2 linked regions of the Rhinolophus ferrumequinum genome follow. The protein of the gene in region 2 interacts with the protein of the main gene of each other region in a biochemical or structural test. Links are inferred from orthologs where the notes say so. Each region holds a gene or a part of one and is shown on either strand. Other genes may lie near its edges. The genes, in order: SF1 and TCERG1.

Region 1 (10,210 bases), on a different chromosome or scaffold from region 2:
GCACCACACACCCATTCAAACTGAAAATATGAAAACCCACATCGCTCTCAGAAGATATGGTGGGCACTCTGTACAAGACAGTGTGTACTGTGAGAGACAGAAGAGGAGTAAGACTCAGGGCTCCCTAAGCTCTTTTATGCCAGAGAAGTTCTGACACGGAGGGCAAGTACTAAGCTCAACAACGCAAGGTGAAAGTCACCTTCACGGTGGGTCAGCAGTCCTCTTAACCAGATTATAGGGGCTTGGAGTCTGATCTCAGGAAATAACTGGCACTTAAATCAAAAGGTTGCTCTCTTCCTTACAGCAGAGATCCATAGCAGCCTCCACTTTGATTCTTGCTACTTTTATTATAGATATAAATAGACCTTAGAGCTCAGGGCATTAACTCCTTCCACAAGAAGAGAAGTGGACATATAAAGAATGAATTTGTTTTCCCATTTTGTAAGTCGCTCCACTAGGGACATTTTCACAAGGTTGTGAAGACCCAGACCAATCTGAGACGTAAGGGGGTGGGTGGTAGTAGATAGAAATAATAGGGAAAGAAGAAATATTAGTACTGTGAACATTAGACAATTCCAGTATCTCAAATCCAATTCTTAGCAGTCTAAAACATGTAAGAGATTATGAGCCTCAAGAATAACATGCCAGCCTTAAAGCTTTTTGTGAAGGCCATGGACCCATAGGTCTAGGAGACCTTTGCCCTAATTTATTCCAAAGGGGATGTTTATTTGGTTAGTAAGAAAATATATATCAAGTGAACTTTTTTGAGACAGCCGCACAAGTACATAAATAAAAGTAAAACTTGTATTAATAACCTTGTATTTTAAAAAAGGAAATTTTAAGGTTAATTTCATTTCCACTGTGGACAGTCATTCTTAATTCTTAAAATTTCCCAACAGTTGAGATCTTTTATCCTAGTAACTTATTCCGTATCCAAGCAATATCCCTTTCCCAGCAGAATTCTTTGAATTCTTTCGTAGTAAATATAAGAGCCCTCATTTTAAGACAGCTCTCCAAAGACCAAACCAGGCAAGATGCTGAAGGAAAGGTTAAAACTCAACGAAATGGTAAGAAGGGGGTGCACTGTAAACACTTCCAGAACCACTTTTTGATTAAAGTGAGTTTTTTTCCTTTCAGAAAGCACCTATAAAAAGTAAAAGACCACATTTTAGGGGAAAGGAGGAATATGAAATTATGGTGCAAGGCCACGCTCTGAAGAAGGTACTTGGTTATGCAACACTTGCAGTGTTCTCCATTGGGGTCGTGTGCAGAGAAGCAGGAGACACTCACCTCATCAACTGGCAATGAACAGCAGCTGAAAAGAGTGGGGTGGGGTGCTGAACTGGGGACTATTCTCACTCCTAAGTGGGCCCCTCTACTTTCCTGGAACTCATGGAGAACACTGCTGTTATACATAGACCAAAACAAGGAGCTGCAAATGCAGGACTCACAGAGCAAAAACTGAAAAATTATGTCAAAATCGTGAAAGCATACCTGACCATATCTCATCTCAAAAAAGAAAACTTTAAAGCCTCCAACTTTCCACAGATAAAATGTTGCTCACAATAGTAACGATCTGAAATTGCACTTGGGTGCAGAACGTGTATTTACCTATATAAGCTCTTTCTTGTTCCCGAGTAAGTCCAGGGGGGATAACTGTAGGCATTCCTGGAATCACGGTCTTCTGTTCCATTGTGTCTTGGTTCCACCGGCTCCTCTTCCGCTTCTTACTTGGGAAGTCTGAAGGCAGATAAACTCCATCAGATGCAAACAAAAACCAGCAGAGTAGCTATCAACAGGCAATTTGGCATATTTGTGACATTAGTCTCAGCAGACTGGGAAACAGAGCTTGACCTACAATGGAAGTGGCGAAGAACAGAAGACCAAGACCAACCTAAAAAAATCAGACACATATGGCCACTACAAGGGGACCTGGACCTGGTTCCGAAAAGTTAACATTTCAGAGAAACTCTGTGAAGTATGTAAACAAGGTAATAAATCTTAATGCATGAAATTTCAGACAGAGAAATAAAAGTATTGACAAAATAAATACTACATCACCCACGAATGCTTTAAAAGCCCCAGGGAAGGTAAGAATAGAATGAATAACCAAACAAATTTGTCAAGTTATATTGGAGGATTGCTGGCCCCTCCCACCTCCACACCCCCACCAGTCACCTTTAGCACAACTAAACCTAGGGCTGGATTCTTCAACAAGATCACTTTTGTCTTCCGAAGTTTAGTCAAGATCAGCATTCAATTTTCCTGGCTATTTGGGAACTTAGTGTCTTGACTACCAAACGTTCAACAAAGAACAAAGTACACAACACTCAAAACCTCCTTCCTCAATACAAAGGCAGAAATCCCCTACATTTAACACACACAAGTTGTTCAGCGTCCCAGGTGGAAGCCCCAACGAGGGGGAGGTATACCAGAATCCTCTAAGGTACATGAAGGAAAGTCAGGCAAAAAACAGAAGCTCCCTCAACAGACACAACAGATTGGACCCCATTAGGCCCTGAAGACTTTCAACCTCTTTTGTTCTCTGTAGTGGAAAAACCCTGCTTTGCAGCCGAAATCGACGAGCTATTTTGGGTACTTTTCTCTCTTTCAGACTCCTCTACCACCAGGAAGAGGATGTTCCACGTCATCACTTGACCCTTTCACACCCTCCTGACCTGCACACCCAACAAACACCCTGTCCACCTACTCGAACCCTTCCACACCTCTCCCCTACACCTGGGGCTAGAGAGCAACAGCGGGCCCCCCAGGTTTGGTCGGGCCGCACACCGCGCCTGCGCACAGCAAACCTCCCGCCCTGATCCGCCCCCCCTTCTCCCAGAGCGCGTGCGCAACACTCTAGGCCCGAAAACCAGGCCGCGCGCCCTGTAGCGCCTCCGCCAGGGCCTCCCCGTGCGCGCGCGCGCCCCTGCCGCGTGCAGCCGCCGCCGTCACCGCTGCCGCGCGCCCCTCCGCCGGCCGGGCCCGTCCGCACGACGCCTCTCGCGCTCTCTCGGCCCGACTCACCTCCTCCGCCGCCGGCCGGGCCCGGCTGCTGGTCCTGACGCGGCGGCTGGGGTGGCAGCGGCGACACGCGCTGGTAGAGCGGCGGCGGAGAGGGCGGCTGCGGCGGCGGGTACGAGGAGCACGGGGAGGGCGGTGGCGGCGGTGGGGGGGGCGGCGGCGGAGGCAGCGCCGCGAACGGGAAGGCCGCGGTCAGGGCCCCCACCGAGCCTACGGGCGGGGGAAGTAGCGGCCTGGGTACCAGCAGTTCCGCCCCAGGTCTGGGGGCAGGCGGTGACCCCGGCTCGAAACCCCCTTTGGGCCCGGGAAGGGAGGGAAGGCCGGGGGGGGGGCCCAGCTTACCCAGCGGCGTGGCGTTTGCTCCGGTCGCCATGGCGCCCCGGGGGACCGGCACCGGCGGCTCCTCGGCGGCGGCTTTTCCTTAGCGAATCTTTCGGGGAGGGGGGGAGGGAGTCGCAGCGCTAGCGCGCGGAACCCGTCCTCTCACGCGGCGGGCGGCGGCGGCGCGAGACGCACAAAGAGGGAGGAGAGAGGCCGCCGCGGGGGCGGGCCGGGGGCGAAGGGGCAGAAGCCTGGATTGGGCCGGGCCGAGGCAAAGGGTCGGAATTGGCAGCCTCCAATTGGCGGAGCTTCAGTCCTTCTCGATGCGCGCTGGGATTGGCCGGACCGTTAGGCCAGGCGAGGAAATGGCGGCCGAGCCTGGCGAGCTGGGAGGTGTCGCAGCGCGCACTTCATTTGTTACTGCGCGAACTGAGCTCGGAGTCCAGAAAGGCGGGGTTAGGGTGGGGCAAACTATGACGTAGGCGCCAAGAGCGCTCTCATTGGCTGCAGTTGATGGAATCAGTCAAACTCGGTTGCATCGTAGTGTCATAGGATTGGCTGTCTCTTGTTCGAGTCTTTTTCCACTCCCCGTCCCTGGGGAGCAGTTTCGATGGGAGTAAGCGAAAGGTCGCTGCGGAAAAGCCACGGCGGTACGAAATTTACGGCGGGGAGGAGTGGAGTAGGAGCGCTCATGCGTAGATGGGTCAAAGCCGCCTCCGCCCCTACCTTCACGGTTGTTCACTGGGTCCGGAGCGGAAAGCCCAAAGTGACGTCAATCCTCGATTCCCATGGTAACACGGAACCGCGGGCTAGGGGTGGGGCCGGCGCGTGCCCGTAAACCGGATCCGTTGACGCCGCAGGTAAAAAAGGACTTCCTGTTTTCTTTGAACAAAAATAAAAAGGGGGGAAAAAGCTATAGTCTAATTGAAGGATTAAAAACACCTGAGCCGATGGAACAACACAATTTTATGTGGAAAAGAACATAAAGTCAATTCTAAAATTAGTTTACACATATGCAATTCCATTAAAGTCTCAGCGGGGTGGTGGTTAATTAAGTCATCTTAAAATCATATAAAATAACTGAAAATAGTGGGCAAACTTGTAAACAAGATTGAGGAGGAGCTGGCCTTTCCAGGTAACACAGTATGAAAGACACAAGAATGATGTAGGAAAGACAGATAAGTGGCACAGAATAAAGTCTGGATATAGATTACCAATATACTGGTAAGAATACCACAAAGGTGGTTTCAGTTCCGTAAGTTTTAGCTAATGGTATGGAATCTTGAATCTAAACCATAAAACAGACAATACAATTTATGAGGCGTAATCTAGGGGTAGAGTTTATGAAGACAGGCAACTCGAACTATAAAGAGAAGATATACTTGATTACCAAAGAAATTCAAAGTGATAAAATTCAAAAGAAAATGTCAGAAAAATATAATTGCCACACGTGATAGAGTTAATATCTTTAATATGAAAGGTCTTCAAAACTAATTTTAAAAAGACAAAATCAATAGGTAACGAGCAAAGACTGAATAGGGAAGTCTTAGAAAAGCAAGAACAAATAGCCAAAAACATGAAAGGATACCAACCCCCTTAGCAGGGAAATGCAAATTAAGGTGATAATGAGCAAACTCTTTATATAACCATTAAAAGAGCTAAAGACAAATGTGCTGACACCTACTACTGTGAAGTTCTTTTTTGGAAAGCATTCTGTTGTCTATTAAAATTGTACCCCTTTCAGGAAAAATAATAACCCTTTCAATGTAGCAATCCCTCTCGTGGGAATCTGCCCCAAAGTAAGGCCTGTGATTATATAATGTAATATATTCTCATGGCAAAAACCTGGAATCAGTTTCCATCCATATGTGAATGGTTGAACAAACTGTAATATCCATAACCTGGAATTAGGCAGCCTTGAAAAGCAGTTAGTTTATACCAACTGACCTACAGGGACTAATGTGCTGTATTTATTCTTAAATGAGGGAAAAAAAGCAAATACGCATTATATGATCTTGTTTTGGTAAAACAAACAAACCCCATATATATGCGTGTGCATGTTTGCAATGATTATATGAGTACAGACAAAGCTATGGTAGGATACACAGCACACGTTATCAGTGAAGACAATGGAGAGGGAAAAGGGTACCTGGAAGTTAATCTGAAACATTTTAAGAACCTAGTGTATTTTTAAAATGTGCTTCATACTTTTTAAAAATGTATGACATGATCCTATTTACATAACATATAAGGAAATGCATTTACAGGACAATCACCAAATTTCCAGTGGTGGTGGGATCTCAGGTAATTTTTCCTTTTTTCCTGTTATTTCTGTATATTATTCTAATTATACTGAACAAGTATTTATATAATAAAATACAAAGCTAATATTGTGGACAGGAAAGCAAAAATATAACGTTTAAATCATACTTTGAAGGAAAAATTAATTTATTTAGTAAATACAACAAATTTTACCGAGGAGCTGAGAAACTCAGTTTCTGCCTTCCAGAAAATCACTCAGGGCTTAAAATCAGATGCCTCCTGATTTTATACAAGGGTGCAGTATAACATATATATAAAACATGTATTATATGTAACATATGTAACATATATATGGAGCATTTGAAATCTTGCTTCCTGGCATGTTGTCAGTTGGCTCAAATAAACTCAGAAATTCTCTGCAGGTTTGGACATTGTTTTTTTCCATTGGGGAATATTGGGAAACTGTGTTTCTCCAGGGCCCATCTGCTCCAAGTCATTGTCCTTCAATCTAGTTGTGGAGGGCGCTGCTCAGCTCCAAGTCCAGTCGCTGTTTTCAATCTTAGTTGCAGGGGGCGTAGCCATCCCCACCATCCCATTGGGGGAATTGAACTGCAAGCTCACGCTCAACCAAGCCATCTGGTCCCGCCTCCGGCAGCTCAGAGGCAGCTCAGTTTCTTCAATCTAATTGTGGAGGGCACAGATCACTGGCCCATGTAGGAATTGAACTGGTAACCCTTTTCAGAGCTCATGCTCTAACCAACCGAGCAATTTGGCTGCCCCAGGTTTGGACATTCTTACATCGACACCAGGAAGCAAGATCTCAACAGACTGAGAAAATGCTCTGGAGAATGACAGTTTTGCAGTTTCTTTTATACATTGGGAATTAAGGAAGAAAGGTAAGGAAGAGTACGTGAAGGTGGGAGAAAGCAAAGCGGGCGTTGTTAAGATTATGTGCTCTCTTGAGGGTGATTACACCTCTGAGGGGTCTGGAAAAGAGGCATTTCAAAGATGTGTTAACCTCGATGCACAAGAATGATGGACAGGGCTGGCTTAAGGCAGAGAAAAACCTTTTAGTAAAGAAGTTATATGACTACCCACTGTGATCTTCCCAGTTAGGAATTTATGATCAGATCACCCTGTGATCAGGTTTGTTACCAAGCCCCTTTTTTGTCCATAGTATTTACTGAGAGAAGTGAAAGTATACAGCCACACAGACAGGTACACAAATGTTTATAGCTTTATTTATAATAGTCCAAAACTGGAAACAGCCCACATGTTCAACAGGTGACTAGCTAAACACTGTGGTACATACACACAGGAGAATACTACTTGGCAATAAAAAAGGAATGACTGTTACATGCAACAACATGAATGAATCTCAATAATGGTGCTCAGTGAAAGAAGCCAGACAAGAACAGAGGACATATTGTATGATTTTATTTATGTAAATTCTGAAAAATGCAAATGCATCTATGGTGACACAAAGCGGATCAATGGTTACGTGGGGATGGGGAGGTGAGGAGAAGCTGGAGGGTGTGATTACAAAGAGCAGAAGAAGCTTTTGGGGATGTCAGAGATGTTTGCTATCTTGATTGTGGTAATGGTTTCACAGGTGTATGTGTCAGTATATTTTTAATAGTACATTTTTAATATATGCAGTTTATTATATGCTGATTATACCTTGATGAAGCTGTTTTTAAAAAGAAACTATAGAAGAAAGCAACTACTGGGAAAGGGATCTGCCCACAGTTCTACACAGAATACTGATTTCACTATCTAGGAAAGGATTATCTTGGCATTATATTTTTTTGCTTTTTTTTTTTTAAGCCATTATCGAGCTTTCATTTTTGAGTGATTACTTTAAAATATTTAAACTTAAATGTTTTATTACATAGTATTTGATACAAACAAAAGGATGTGTGTACCTTATGTGAGTTAGGAATTGAATTATTAATTGAACACCTGTGAACCTACCACCCAGCCTGACAACCAAGATATTACCAATACCTCTGCAAATTCCTGGGGTCCTGTGTTACCCCACTCTCATTCTCCCCCCAGGGACCATCATTTTGAATTTTGTGCTGCTTCTGATCTAATGGAGTTTTTTCACATGTGCATCTATCACCAACTAGAAGTGGTTTAGACTTGCTATCATACTGTGTGTAATTTTATGTAACTTGCTGTTTTAATTTGGCATTACCCAAGATGCATCTGTGTTGTTGCATTTTGTATATTACCATTATTTTCAATCCTCCCAACAGCCCTGCAGGCAGACTTAGGATATGTACCTGGGAAAATGCAGCTCAGCAAGCTCGCCCAGTCCAGGGGCCTGACCCCAGGGCCTCCTCTTCACCACACCACGCTCATTCCTTCCCTCGGAAAGCAAGCCCAAGGGCCTGCTGTGCAGCAAGCAGTGTCCCACTGCTGGACATGCCAGTGAACATGGCCACATTCTCGTGGTGGTTCTCCTTTTGACCCTCACTTAACTGGTGTATGGGCCAGCTCCCCAAACACCCTGAGGTGCCCACGCCTCTTCCACTCACCCACAGGATGGCCGAGAGAAGCTGATATGACCCATCCCGGAAGCTTCCGCCCAGGGAGGGCAATTTGACAGTAGCTATCACAAGGACACACAGGGCCCCCTCTGACACAGCAATGCCACTCCAGGAATTGGCCCTAGAGGACACCTGAATATATAGAGGGGCATTGGCATAAGAATATTTATTGCAGTGTCATTTGTAATATCAAAGTAATAGAAACAACATAAAATTTCATCAATCGGGATCTAATGACAGTAAATTAACGTTATGGGAAATACATACAATGGAATACCACTGACTATAAAACAACAAAGGGGGAGGTACTGATCATGGAAAGCTCTCCAGGGTAGATTTTAAAGACCAAGATGCAAAGTGCGTGTGATTATGTTAGACCATGGTATAAAGAGGGAAGAATGAAACATACAGGACCGCTACATATGCATAAACACTTCAGAAGGCTTCAGAAGTAACTGGGACCTGAGTGGGAGACGTTTCATAGTACCTATTTTGCATTTTTTTAAAATTGTTTACCATACGCAAGGGCTACCTATTAAAAAATACATAAATAAAATAATTTTAGTCTCTCAGGGCATATTCCCTGGCTTCTTGATCTTTCTTTGGCTTCTGGCCAGCCTTTTCTGGCAGCCAATATTTTATCAGAGGCTCTTGCTTTTCTCAGATCCCAGATTTAGGCAAATTACTCTCTGACAACCCCACCACCACCTTTTCAGACAAGGGTGGCTGCTCAGAGCTGCGGCAGCCTGCCACAAGGTGGCGCTGTCTGCTGCTTGGTGCTCTGGGGGCCGATCAGTCCCTGGGTACCTGGGATCAGAGTCTCTGCTGATAGGGATCCCGCTCACCTCCCACTTCTATCAAGAAATCTGAAAAATTGGAATTTGGAAATCATATCCCTGTCACCCCGCCATTTGGCCTATGGAATGCCCTGCAGGTGGAGCAGACAAACCTTCAGAACTTGGAAGGTCCCTCCCAACCTCCATTGAGCCAGTGCACAGGGGCTGTCTCCTCCCCTGGCCTCACCCCCATTTCAGCTGAGAAACCCAGGCACTGGTAGTCAGAGCAGCTGGGGCTCTGCTGGAGTGTGGACGAGGGGACACTACGACAACCATGGAATTGCCTGGGGCCCTTGGGACGGGGATGCTGCTGCTGCTTCACGTAAGTCGCCATCTACCCACCACTCACCCACTTATCTTTTCGTTCACTTAAATGTGCTTTATATTTAAATGTGTCAAATATTTCCCAATGGCCAACCAGGTGTAGAGAAGTTCTTACTCAAACACTTGCCTTGAATATCAGAAGGGAGATTGGGCCAAACTCGAGAGCTGGCCCCTGGGCCTTTGCTCAGACTCTACCTAGATCCAGGGCCTTCCAGCCCTCTGCAGCCCTGGTCCTGCTGTGCACCGCACCCTCCTTCAAGGCCAGCTGCCATCCTGCCCCCTTGGCCTCACCTGCCCAAAGGCTCTGGTCAAGAGCAGCCTGGTCAGTGCCTGGGGCATGACGAGGCTCCCAGGGGTAGGGAGCCCCCTAAGAGGGAAACGTGGGAGAACGGCAATTCAAAGCACAAGGTCAGCCATGGGTGGATGCATGTGCCCTCAAGACTCAGGCTAAAGCAAGGACAGCTCCCCTCCCGGGGGGGCTGGTGCACACCTTGGTAGTGACCCCTCTGTGAGCCCAGGGCCTGCCACTGAGGAGTTCCTCTGGGAATACTTGTTAAATGGACACAGGCTAATCTTGCCAGAGTCTAGCCTGGTGATGGTGCCCACACTGAGTAGGCCTGGCCTGATCGAGCACACTGATACGTAGGCAGCAGGTGGGAGGCAGGGCGGCAGCCCCAGGCCTGGGTGGTACAGGTCATGGCCGGCTGTTTCCATAGGCCTCCCTGGGGCTGGGTGGAACAGCTCTTGGCTGGCCCCTCCTGGGCCCTGTTTGCCTGATGAGATCCTATATGGGGCAGGGCTGCCCTGGATGAGAGGCCCTTTGTTCAGGGGCCTCCCATCTACATGACTCCTTGGCCATACTGCCAAGCTGCGGGCTCATCCTGAGGG
Region 2 (10,285 bases):
TAGTCAATTTACTGAGCACCTATTAGTCTTCCCAGTAGTTACTATAAATCTCTCCATTATACATAAAGTTTACATTTCTGCGCTCAAGAGATCAATAATTATACTCCTTATGTATATTTGAAGATAATCATTCTTATATTCTCTTCTCACCAGGCTCTTCCAACTTCCCTACACGTTTCAACCCTTTGCTTAAGATTAATTACCCTTTGAACGTTTTTCCCACATCACAGTTCAATTCTGATACAAAAAAATCCTAATAAAGAATCAATTTTCCTTCTAGGATAGCAAACACATCCAGACCTACTATACCAACTATAACCAAATTTGCATACAATCCTATACTCAAAGTTAAAAAATTGAGTTAAAATCAATGACTGCAAAAAAGGAGTATGGATTATATCAGAATAGTCTTTTTCAAATTATATGCACTCCCAAGAGACACATGACCACTATTACTAAAGAAACATCTTAACCTTTAGTGCAGAAATAAAGTTTACTACCAAGGAAAGCTATTCTGTTTCAGCCTTGAGTTAATAATGTACCTTAATCTTAGATTTCCTTTGAGGCTAACTCTCCCTTTTCAAAAATTCTACAGTATTTCTTTAGAATTTCACACTTCCTAGATATAGCTTGAATTAAGTGTTTCGGCTTTAGAGTCACGAAAAGTCAAATCATGGCTCTGCCTTTTGTTGTCAGACTAGTTACATAATTTCTGAGTCTGAGTATATTCAGATGTAAATTAGCGAAGGAATAGAAATAAAACCTATCTCATATCTCTGTTCAATGAGCTAATCCCCGTGAAAAATTTAGGACAGTACCTGATACGCAGTAAACCACTTTAACTATCTCAACTTTGATTTCCCTACAAAACCTAGCACAGTGCTCTACATGTAAAAGGCACTTAGTTGTCAGTTTGACTAGATGGCTTTCAAAAGTCTGACATTAAAATGGTGACAAAATTCACACAATTTCCTCCATCGGCAGCCTAAAAGGTGCCATTTTCTGATGCCAGATGTATAGCTCTTTATAAACACTGCTCCATCACAACCAACCTACCAGAACCTGCAGTAAGGATTAAATGAGCTAATAAAGTACTTGGAACAATGCCTAGCACATTAGTGCTCTGTAAGTATTAGCTTTTATTACTGTTGCTGTAACATTAGTATAGCAGTAATAGTATTAGTGTTAAATGGCGTTAGTATTAGTAATAGTGGCAGCTATTATTATTACTATAATTATTACTACCAGGCTCTACATAATTTGTCCCTTTTTGACCTCTCTACAGATTCTAGTCTTCTTTATGATCAAATACTTCGTTACCTTGAAGCCTCTGCACTTGTTCCCTCTGCCTGGAATGCTTTTCCCCAGCTCCTTACATAACTGGCTCCTTTTCATTATCAGTCTCAGTTCAAGTGTTACCTCAAACTCTTTCCCCCCTCCTGGCCTCTCGCAGACCCTCTGTGGCTCATTACCCAATTCGAGTTTTCAATTACGTACGATAAATGCTATGAAGAAATCTCTCACTGTTTACGTTTGTAGTCCACTCACTAATACATAGTTTTCCCTTAGTATACTGCGGCATCCCAGTGCCGAGGATGGTAAGTGTTCAAATATTTTTTTAATAATGATAGCAAACACTAGGTACTTCCTATATACTAGGCATGGATATATATCCATGGACATTATATGTACTAACTCTTTTAATCCTCACAACAACACAAAGAGGTAAGTTTGGCACCATTTTTACAGAGGAAACTATGGCACAGAAAAATAACTTGTTTATGGCAGCAGTCAATGGTAACACTAGTGTATTCTTATTCCCATTTTACAATTGAGGAAATTTAGACTGCAAGTACCCTGTCACAAGTCACGAAGTATTAATAAGTAAACAAAGGCCCTGGGTAAAGAATCTTTACAAATACGATGCTAAAAGTTATCTTAATGGCCCTCAACCATAAAGAGATCAATGGCATTTGGATTTCCAAATAAATTCTGTCTATTGTAAGTTATTTGCATTCCTATTACTTAAAACCTTTTCAGAAAACAGAAGCCTACCGCATAAATAGAAACAAAAAAATTTTTTTACAAGAACAAATGTGTTTCTCTAGAAGTACTCTATCCACATATGCAATCTCCCCAATGGTGAAGACAAAACTGCAAATAGTTTAATAGGCGGGGCAAAAATGGAAAAGTGCTGCTGACATGTGGGAAGGGACCTCGGTTTTAATCCAGACTCTGCCAATTACTCAGTGACCTTGTACAAGTCACTTCAAACTTGCAGGATGATTTCCTCATTGGATGTGATTAGTTCAGAATTTAGAACAATCTTAATTAGCATGGAAGCTCCTTGAGGACAAAGGATTTTGGTCTAGTTCAAGTCACCTAGGTCGGTGACTGCACATAGCACACATTCATGGGTCTACTAAGTGAACCATCTCAAAATCACCTATATTCCTTTGTTTACTATATATTCACTGAACACCTTATTTGCTAGGTACTATGACAGACACACAACGAAATACTTTCAGGATACAAATACAAACACTAAGCCCCAATTTCTACCATCAAAGAGGCCAGATAAACAGCTAATTTCTCTTAAACCATGAGAAATGCTGAAATAAAGGTCTGTACAATATGCTCTGGAAGCAACCTCCAACCCAAGAGGCTACATATTTGCAACAAAACATCTAATTTAAGGACATATTCAAATCAGTTTAGTACAAAGTCTGAATGACTATTAATAAAATGAAAAGGCTACTCCTTGTAAAGCTGAAGAAAGATACTCAAAAACGCAAAGTACTGTTCCCACGTAAATCCATATGAAACTAGCTAAGTATCCTTCTCTTGAGATCAGAGTCAGGAATAAACCTTCCACCACTGATACAGAAAAGCCCTGGCAGTGCACACTGATCACTCATTACTAAAGTAAAAACGTGGGGTTTAAAGGATTTGAGATTCATCTCTGAAGTAAGACAAAATTTTACTCCTGCCAAAGTAAGGATTTTTGTGTGTGACAATTCAGAAACTAAAAGCCATTATATATATATATTTTTGCCCTAAAACCTTGAGCTCATTTTTTATACAATTTCATCTTGAGCTCTAGACAGTACTATACACTGCTCGTAACCTACACTGGTCTGTTTTAGTTTCAAATGCTGACAATGGCACAATTCAGAATGGGAGCTGAACATCTGAAATGACATTTTTCCCCATCCACGGAAAAAAAAAAAATGTATCAAAGATACATAAAGCTTAGTACCTCTTTTTCCTCAAAAACCACTGACTAAAGACTTTTCCAAGACACTTTCACTTTCCCAAATCTTAATTAGAAAATTCCATAGGCAATGAGACACCAGAAGAAGAAAGCTCACTGTACTCTTTAGGGCGAAGGCGTGAGCAGACACAGCGATTGAGGCTGCAGGCTCTGGAGCCTGACTGTCTGGGTTCAAGCCATTTCCAGGAGCCACAGTTTCACCTATGAGACCTTGTTCTTCTACTTCCTCAACCTATGCCAGTCTCAGTTTTCTCACCTGTAAAATGGACTTACGAGTAACTTAAGGTGGCTCTGGTCTGTGGCATGCAAAATGCGAAAAGCAACTACTCCGAAGGTCGGTTGTGAGGATTAAATGAGACAACTCTAAGTAAAGGGCTCGTTGGCATATAGAAGTAAGTGACAAACGGTGGCTGCTATTGTTATTATTCACAAATACGGGATACGGGATAAAAAGATTAGAGGAAAAGCCACAAGACATTAAGAGCAAGCGACGTACGGAAGGAACCGGGCAAAAGTAGAAACCTCCAAAGGGCCGCGTAGGGCGTGGAGAAGGCTGAGTCAGAAGTAGTGAGGGGTCTCAGGGAGTTAACTGCGGAGTGGAGAGGTGTCCGTAAGGCAAAGCGGGCCCGCGGAGGCGCGAGCCGAGAGGGAGGCTGTGGTGGGCCGAGGCGGAGGGGGCATGAGGCTGAGGAGGGGCCCCGAGGCGGGAATGTCTGGCCCGGCCTCCCGGCCGCAGCCGCCAGAAGCGCTGGGGCCGCGAAAACCACAAGGAGCTCCCCGAGAACACGCAGGAGGCCGCGGCCCAGTCCCAGCCCGGCTCTCTCATTCAAGCCACCTTCCCCTTCCCCCTTCTCCAACCCCATGCGGTCCTGGCCCCGAGCCGCCGCGGCTCCTCTGCCCACCCTCCACCCCTCATCTTCGCGCGGCGGGCCCATCCCGGGACTCCAGCATGCTGAGAAGTAATAAAGAGCGGGGCCCCTTACCTGAGCTCCCCCGGGTTGAATCGCTCACCGTCCCCCCCGTCCCCGCCACGCTCCGCCATTACAGAGGGCCGCGTTCATCCACCCGCCGACTCGACGTCCACTATTGGCCGGACGGATCATCAATCCCGTGCGAGAGAGGCGGAGACATTAGGGATCTGTGAAATGATTGGTGATACTTTCCATCAATCCTAGAGCTGAGGGCGGCATCTGCCTTACTATTGGTGAAAGCGCCCGCCGACTTTGAAAGCGGTAAGGAGACAGCCGGTTGATTGGTCGCCCGGAGGCTTTATGGGAAATGAGACTTAAGCAACGAGGAACTGCGGGCGCCCTCTGGTGGTAGGCAAAACTAGGTCCTCCCACGTACTGACGGCCTGCGGTAGCCACGTGTCTGCCGGCTTCCAGGAAAACCAGTTGTGGAGCCATATTGGCCACATACTGGCGATATTGGTTCAGTCCGAGACCATTTCTATTGCGTGAGCCAATTAAAAATCGACCTGAGTCATGCCTAGACCAATCACAGAGTTGCTGTGAAAATGAGCTATTTCCCAACTCTTCAGAACAAGGAGTCTTAAACCATTACCAGATTATAGCCACGTTATTAAATAATAAATTAGTTAACTACTGTGTTTCCCCGAAAATAAGATCTAACCAGAAAATAAGCCCTAACATGATTTTTCAGGATGAAATCCCCTGAACATGAATCTTAATGTGTCTTTTGGAGCAAAACTTAATATAAGACCCGGGCTTATTTTCAGGGAAACACGGTACAAGAATACCTCCTAAATTATATTAAATAATTAGTTGTAGGCTGATGAGTGTTAAAAGTTGGTGCATTAAGATAAGTTGGGGAACATAAGCCTCTTCATCACAATTTACAGTTTAAAGCATCTGTTCTTCAATTTTAAAATACACTTGTCTCAAATTAGCACACCCTAATACCCAGAAGGAATTCTGAATATTTATTTCTTATTAAAGGAAAAAAAAAACACAAAAAATACTTTAGGCTCTGGGGTTTCAAAGGCACAATGAAGATAAACCTTATTAAGTTGCTCAAAATATTAAAATAAATTTACTCAGACCTAACTATAAATACTGGGAACTATCTTAAGTACTTTGCACGCATTCTGTCGTTTAGACCTCAAAAACACTGAGACGTGGGTACTATGAATGGCCATAGTTTATAAATGCGACTGAGGCACAGAAAAGTAACTTGTCCAAGTTCACGTGGCTTGTAAATGGCAGACAAGGCAATAATAACAGCAAAGCCTTATTTCTAAACATCCTGAGCCAAGAAAATTGGCAACATACATCCATACAAAAACTCATACACAAATGTTCATAGCAGCATTATTCTTAATAGCCAAACGTGGAATCAACCCAAACATCAAATCAACTGATGAGTGAATAAAGAAACATGGTATATCCATACAAAGGAATATTATTCAGCCATAAAATGTGATGAAGCACCACTACATGCTTTAACATGGATGAACCTTGAAAACATTATGCAAAGTGAGAAGCCAGACACAAAAAGATACATATTGTGTTATTCCATTTCCATGAAGTGTCCAGAATAGGCAAATCCCCAGAGACAGAAAGTAGATCAGTGGTTTCCAGGAGAAGGAGAGAGTGATAGCTAATGGGTATGGGATTTCTGTGGGGTTGATGAAAATGTTCTGAAGTTAGATAGTGGTGATGATTGCACAAGTTGGTGAATATACTAAAACTCATTGCATTATACACTTTAAAATGTGAATTTTATTGTATGTGAATTATAATTCAGTAAATACAATGTTATGCTGAATCCCAGTTAAATATTCAAAATCAATTAAATGTGACAAAATATGATAAGAACTGAACACAGTTTTGAGCATAAGAAATTGGAGAAGGAAAAGATGATTGAAATTTCATTAAATATATGACATTTGAAAAACCGGAGTCTGATTAAGAGTGGGAGGTTAAATCCCTTTTTTCAACATCAGCATGCATCCCCAAGTACTGCCAAACTACTCAAAAAATAATACTGGTATTGAAGCTCATAAAAAACTAATCCCCAGTGCTGGAAAAAAAAATTCAAAATGGATCCCTTATAGAAATCCTGTCAAAGGCATACATAAAAGATGAAAACAGTCAGTTTGAATGAATGAAAGAAACTCCTTGCAGATGTAATAAAAGTTTTATTATTTGATAATTGCATTGTGTTTGTATATCTATATATATTTTAAGATATTTATATCTTGTATTATTTTTATATAGAGCAGGCTTGTATACATGTGACTATGTATATGCATATGATTATATACATATATAGAAAATCATTTCAGTGTTTCATTGCTGTAGTTTACTCACATAAACATATCCTTGAAATTCAGTACTCAATAGCTATATAAAAATACCGCAAATATCTAATCTGAGCTGTGTCTACAGTGAACCATTTTATTGAATCAACGTGAAGAAAATAATTAAAGAGACTCAATGTATAATATCTTTTAAAAAACCAAATGGATTTTCCTGTCATCAAAGCTTGATATATCTCAGGGTACTAAAAATGTGCATAGCTATAGAGAACAGAAAAACAAATACTGTCCTTGCCCAATTGACGGCAATTGAATTATAGACCCCAAAACTTAGTATACCAAGTGAGGTAAAGAAACAGGGTTGGCTTAAGACAAATTAATATCATCAAGGCTCTAAGTCCTGGCTATGAAGTCACTCCTCAGAAGTGACTCTTGAGAAGAGGTTCCAATGCTGAATCAGGCTTTTCTTTTTAATAACTACCATTTTTGAACACCTATCTTAAACCCATGGTAGATATTTTGCACACACTCTTTTTAATACCCTTAACGGCCCTTTAAGGCACACATATTGTCCCGCATTTTACATATGGGGAAGCTGAGGCTCAGAGACATTACATAACTGGTGCAAATTGGCATTCACACCGGTAATAAGAGGTGAAGCTAGGATTCAAGGGCAGGTGTATCTCACACCAAAGCCAATTGGGGACAGCTAAATCCCTGTCTCACTCAAGCCAGAAAGGTAGCATAGCTAATGTATCATTTCTTTCTCTTTTCTGTAGACTGTAAATACTTTTAAAAGACTCTCTACTTTCCTCACCGAATCTCCAGCCCCTAGTGAAGTATGCATGCACATGTAAGGCCAGCACTGTCGACTGTACTGTGCAGCTATATTACTCCTTACTGGATATATTGGTCTTTGAAACATTTAAAGAGATCTCAGAAATGGAAAATGCCTGACCAGATACACCTGCTGGCTGCCTCACAGGCAGTTTGGGTAGCAGTTGTTAACAGCTTTGGAATTAATGAGATGAGGAGTCTAGTCCTGCCTCTACTAACTAATGGCTGTGTAATCCTGGGCAAGCAAGTTACTTGATTTCTCATAGCTTCAGCTTCTTTATTTGTTTCACTCTCAACACTTAGGAGATTCCAAGAGTTCAGGGAGCTGTAAGCCAGGCATTGTGGATAAAGACCAAATATATATGAGAAATATATTTTGCTCATCTTGTCAGACAAACTCAAAAAAAGTCTGGAGGCTTTGCTAGAAATACATGATAGAGATTTATTCAAGGGTCTTATAGTTTGCAAAGTGGGAACACAGCTAGACAAAAACCCAGGAGTGTTCCAAAGATGAAAGAAAAAAGTTCTTATAATAAACAGTACATTCTTGAAAATTATCAGTCTTGCATTCTTAGTCCTAGCATTAGTCCAAGACAGGTATCAGTCAGATGTCAGGCAGTCTGGATGATGGATGCCAGGTGGTCCAGAAGATAGGTGGCAGGATGTCTGGTAACTTCCTGGTTGTCTGGATAATGGATGTCATGTGGATGTATATGTGAGTCCTTCACATACACTAGATAACTAGAGGGTTAAATAGAGGGTTACCTGGAGGTCCAGATGTATATCCAGGCATTGATGCAGGACTGGAAAATTCAAAAAAGTTTAAGTTCCCAGGCTAGTTAGAAAAAGAATGGAGTCTTTCTTCATGCGACAGCTGAACTTCATATTGTTAATAATTTTAACAGTTTGGTTAAAATGACTCCATTTTATATATTCACCATCTTCACTCTTTCTTCGATCTGAATGACCAAATACATATTGCTTATAAACCACAATATCACAGGTTGAACTTAGTGACTCTACCTAACAGAGGTGACACTTCCAGTGGAGAATCCTGGCAGATGCCATATTAACCAAGTGATCGAGGTTAGCATCTTCAGGAATGGCATGCACCCCGGATAGGATGTGATAAGAAGGGCTCTTCACCTCTGTGGTATTCTTCCCCAAAATCCATAACCTCTGTCTAACCCTGAGGAAACATTAAGCAAACACAAATTGAGGGACATTCTATAAATTATCTGATCAATACTCTTCAAAAGTGTCTAAGTCGTGAAAGACAGGTTAAGATTGAGCAGCTGTCACAGATTTAAAGCAGCAAAGGAAATATGACAACTAATGCAATTGGGTATCGTGGATTGCATCTGGGAAGAGGAAAAGGACACTAGTGGGGAAAACCGAGGAAATCTGAATAAAATATAGTTAGTTTACTTACTATCGTACCACTTAGCTTTGATAAATGTACCATGGCTAAGTAATATGTTAACACTAAGGGAAGCTGGGTGCAGAGTATCTCTGTACTAACTTTGCAACTCTTCTGTAAGTCCAAAATCATTAAAAAATAAGGCATTTTTTAGATATGTTTTAAGCTTCCAGATAGCTAGCAATCCATGATGCAAATAATAGAAGGTGGGAACCACAGCCATATTATAATGTATGACTTAGTCTGTCCATCGACAAGATAAGCGGATTAGACAAGCTGCTCGTCCCATTGATAAAAGCAAGCAGCACACAGGGGTACCCCTAGAAAAGGCAGCCACAGGAGCACCAAACGAGCTCCCGATGTACCCTTGACCTTGGGAAATACATGAGGTTAAGGATTGCAATCCTAGCTTCACAGTCCCCCAAATAGATTTTGCTGGCAAAATAAGGCTGCACCCAAAGTCAAGGACATTCACTTTTAACTGAGCACATAAAGACCCATCTCCATAAACCAGAATGCAAATTTATTAATTTACAAAAAATAAAATTACAACTGTCACGTGGACCATACATTTCCCTCCTCTCTGGGCAAACTTACAGAGTAAGTAAAATTATCAGAAAGCAGCTAAATCTGATTGGAAGTAGAACAAGGGCAATCAATTACTGGATTTGAATTTTTAATGTCACTGAGTCATGAGAACCTGATGATTCTCTATTCCAAATAAAGATATACCTTCCACTTAGACCATCTGTGCCTACCCTTGCATTGGGGAACTCTCTGCCCTACCCAGAACCTCTTCCTATTTCTCTAGCTAGAAGAAAATTCAAAAAGAAACTTGTTCTTTTCTATTCTGCTTTACAGGAAACAAACAGAAAGGAAGTCATTTTTATTACTGACGCCACTGGCTGACTCAATCAACAATGAATGGTTGATGGGCTCATGAATTTGCAAACCCTTAAGATAATTCCATGAACCACCTGGGATTTCTGAGCCAGAAAGTAGAGTACACTGCTCTAGGCTGACCTTCTGTGTTTTGTTGCCACATTTTTTCCCAATAGAACACCATATGATTACTTAGGTTTCCACTTATTAAATGATAATCACATTCCCTAAGATTACGCTAATTTGGATTTGTTCTGGAATAATCAACCACACATTTGTAATCTCTTGGTCTATTAATATAGATGACTATATCTAAGTCCATTGTGTGTGCATTTTACTAGTTTCACTTAACTCTCAGGAACTTTGGATTTGTCCCAAAATACATAATAACACATTTACAGTCTCTTGGTTTATTAACATAAGCAGTTAATCATATCCCTTGTGTAAAGTCAACACTATTCTTCTACTGAAGTGGGCTGCAGGGCTCTCTCTTTTCTTCTTTTATCAAAAACAATTATGTATTTTATAGTTCATTTTAACTCTAAAATCGCACTATTAACTTTTTTTCTGTTTCTCAAAATTAAAACAAGAA

Evidence for each region.
Region 1: the proteins of TCERG1 (region 2) and SF1 form a complex in vitro, tested with the Homo sapiens proteins (3 studies listed by BioGRID). The link is inferred for Rhinolophus ferrumequinum from reciprocal best matches to the Homo sapiens genes TCERG1 and SF1.

The regions. Positions count from the first base shown.
Region 1 is NC_046294.1:6,765,739-6,775,948, reverse strand, and holds the start of SF1 (splicing factor 1), read right to left. Parts: upstream 3,787-10,210; 5' UTR 3,398-3,786; coding exon 3,028-3,397; intron 1,741-3,027; coding exon 1,612-1,740; intron 1-1,611. UniProt on the Homo sapiens protein: Necessary for the ATP-dependent first step of spliceosome assembly. Binds to the intron branch point sequence (BPS) 5'-UACUAAC-3' of the pre-mRNA. May act as transcription repressor.
Region 2 is NC_046307.1:19,544,874-19,555,158, reverse strand, and holds the start of TCERG1 (transcription elongation regulator 1), read right to left. Parts: upstream 4,359-10,285; 5' UTR 4,317-4,358; coding exon 4,258-4,316; intron 1-4,257. UniProt on the Homo sapiens protein: Transcription factor that binds RNA polymerase II and inhibits the elongation of transcripts from target promoters. Regulates transcription elongation in a TATA box-dependent manner.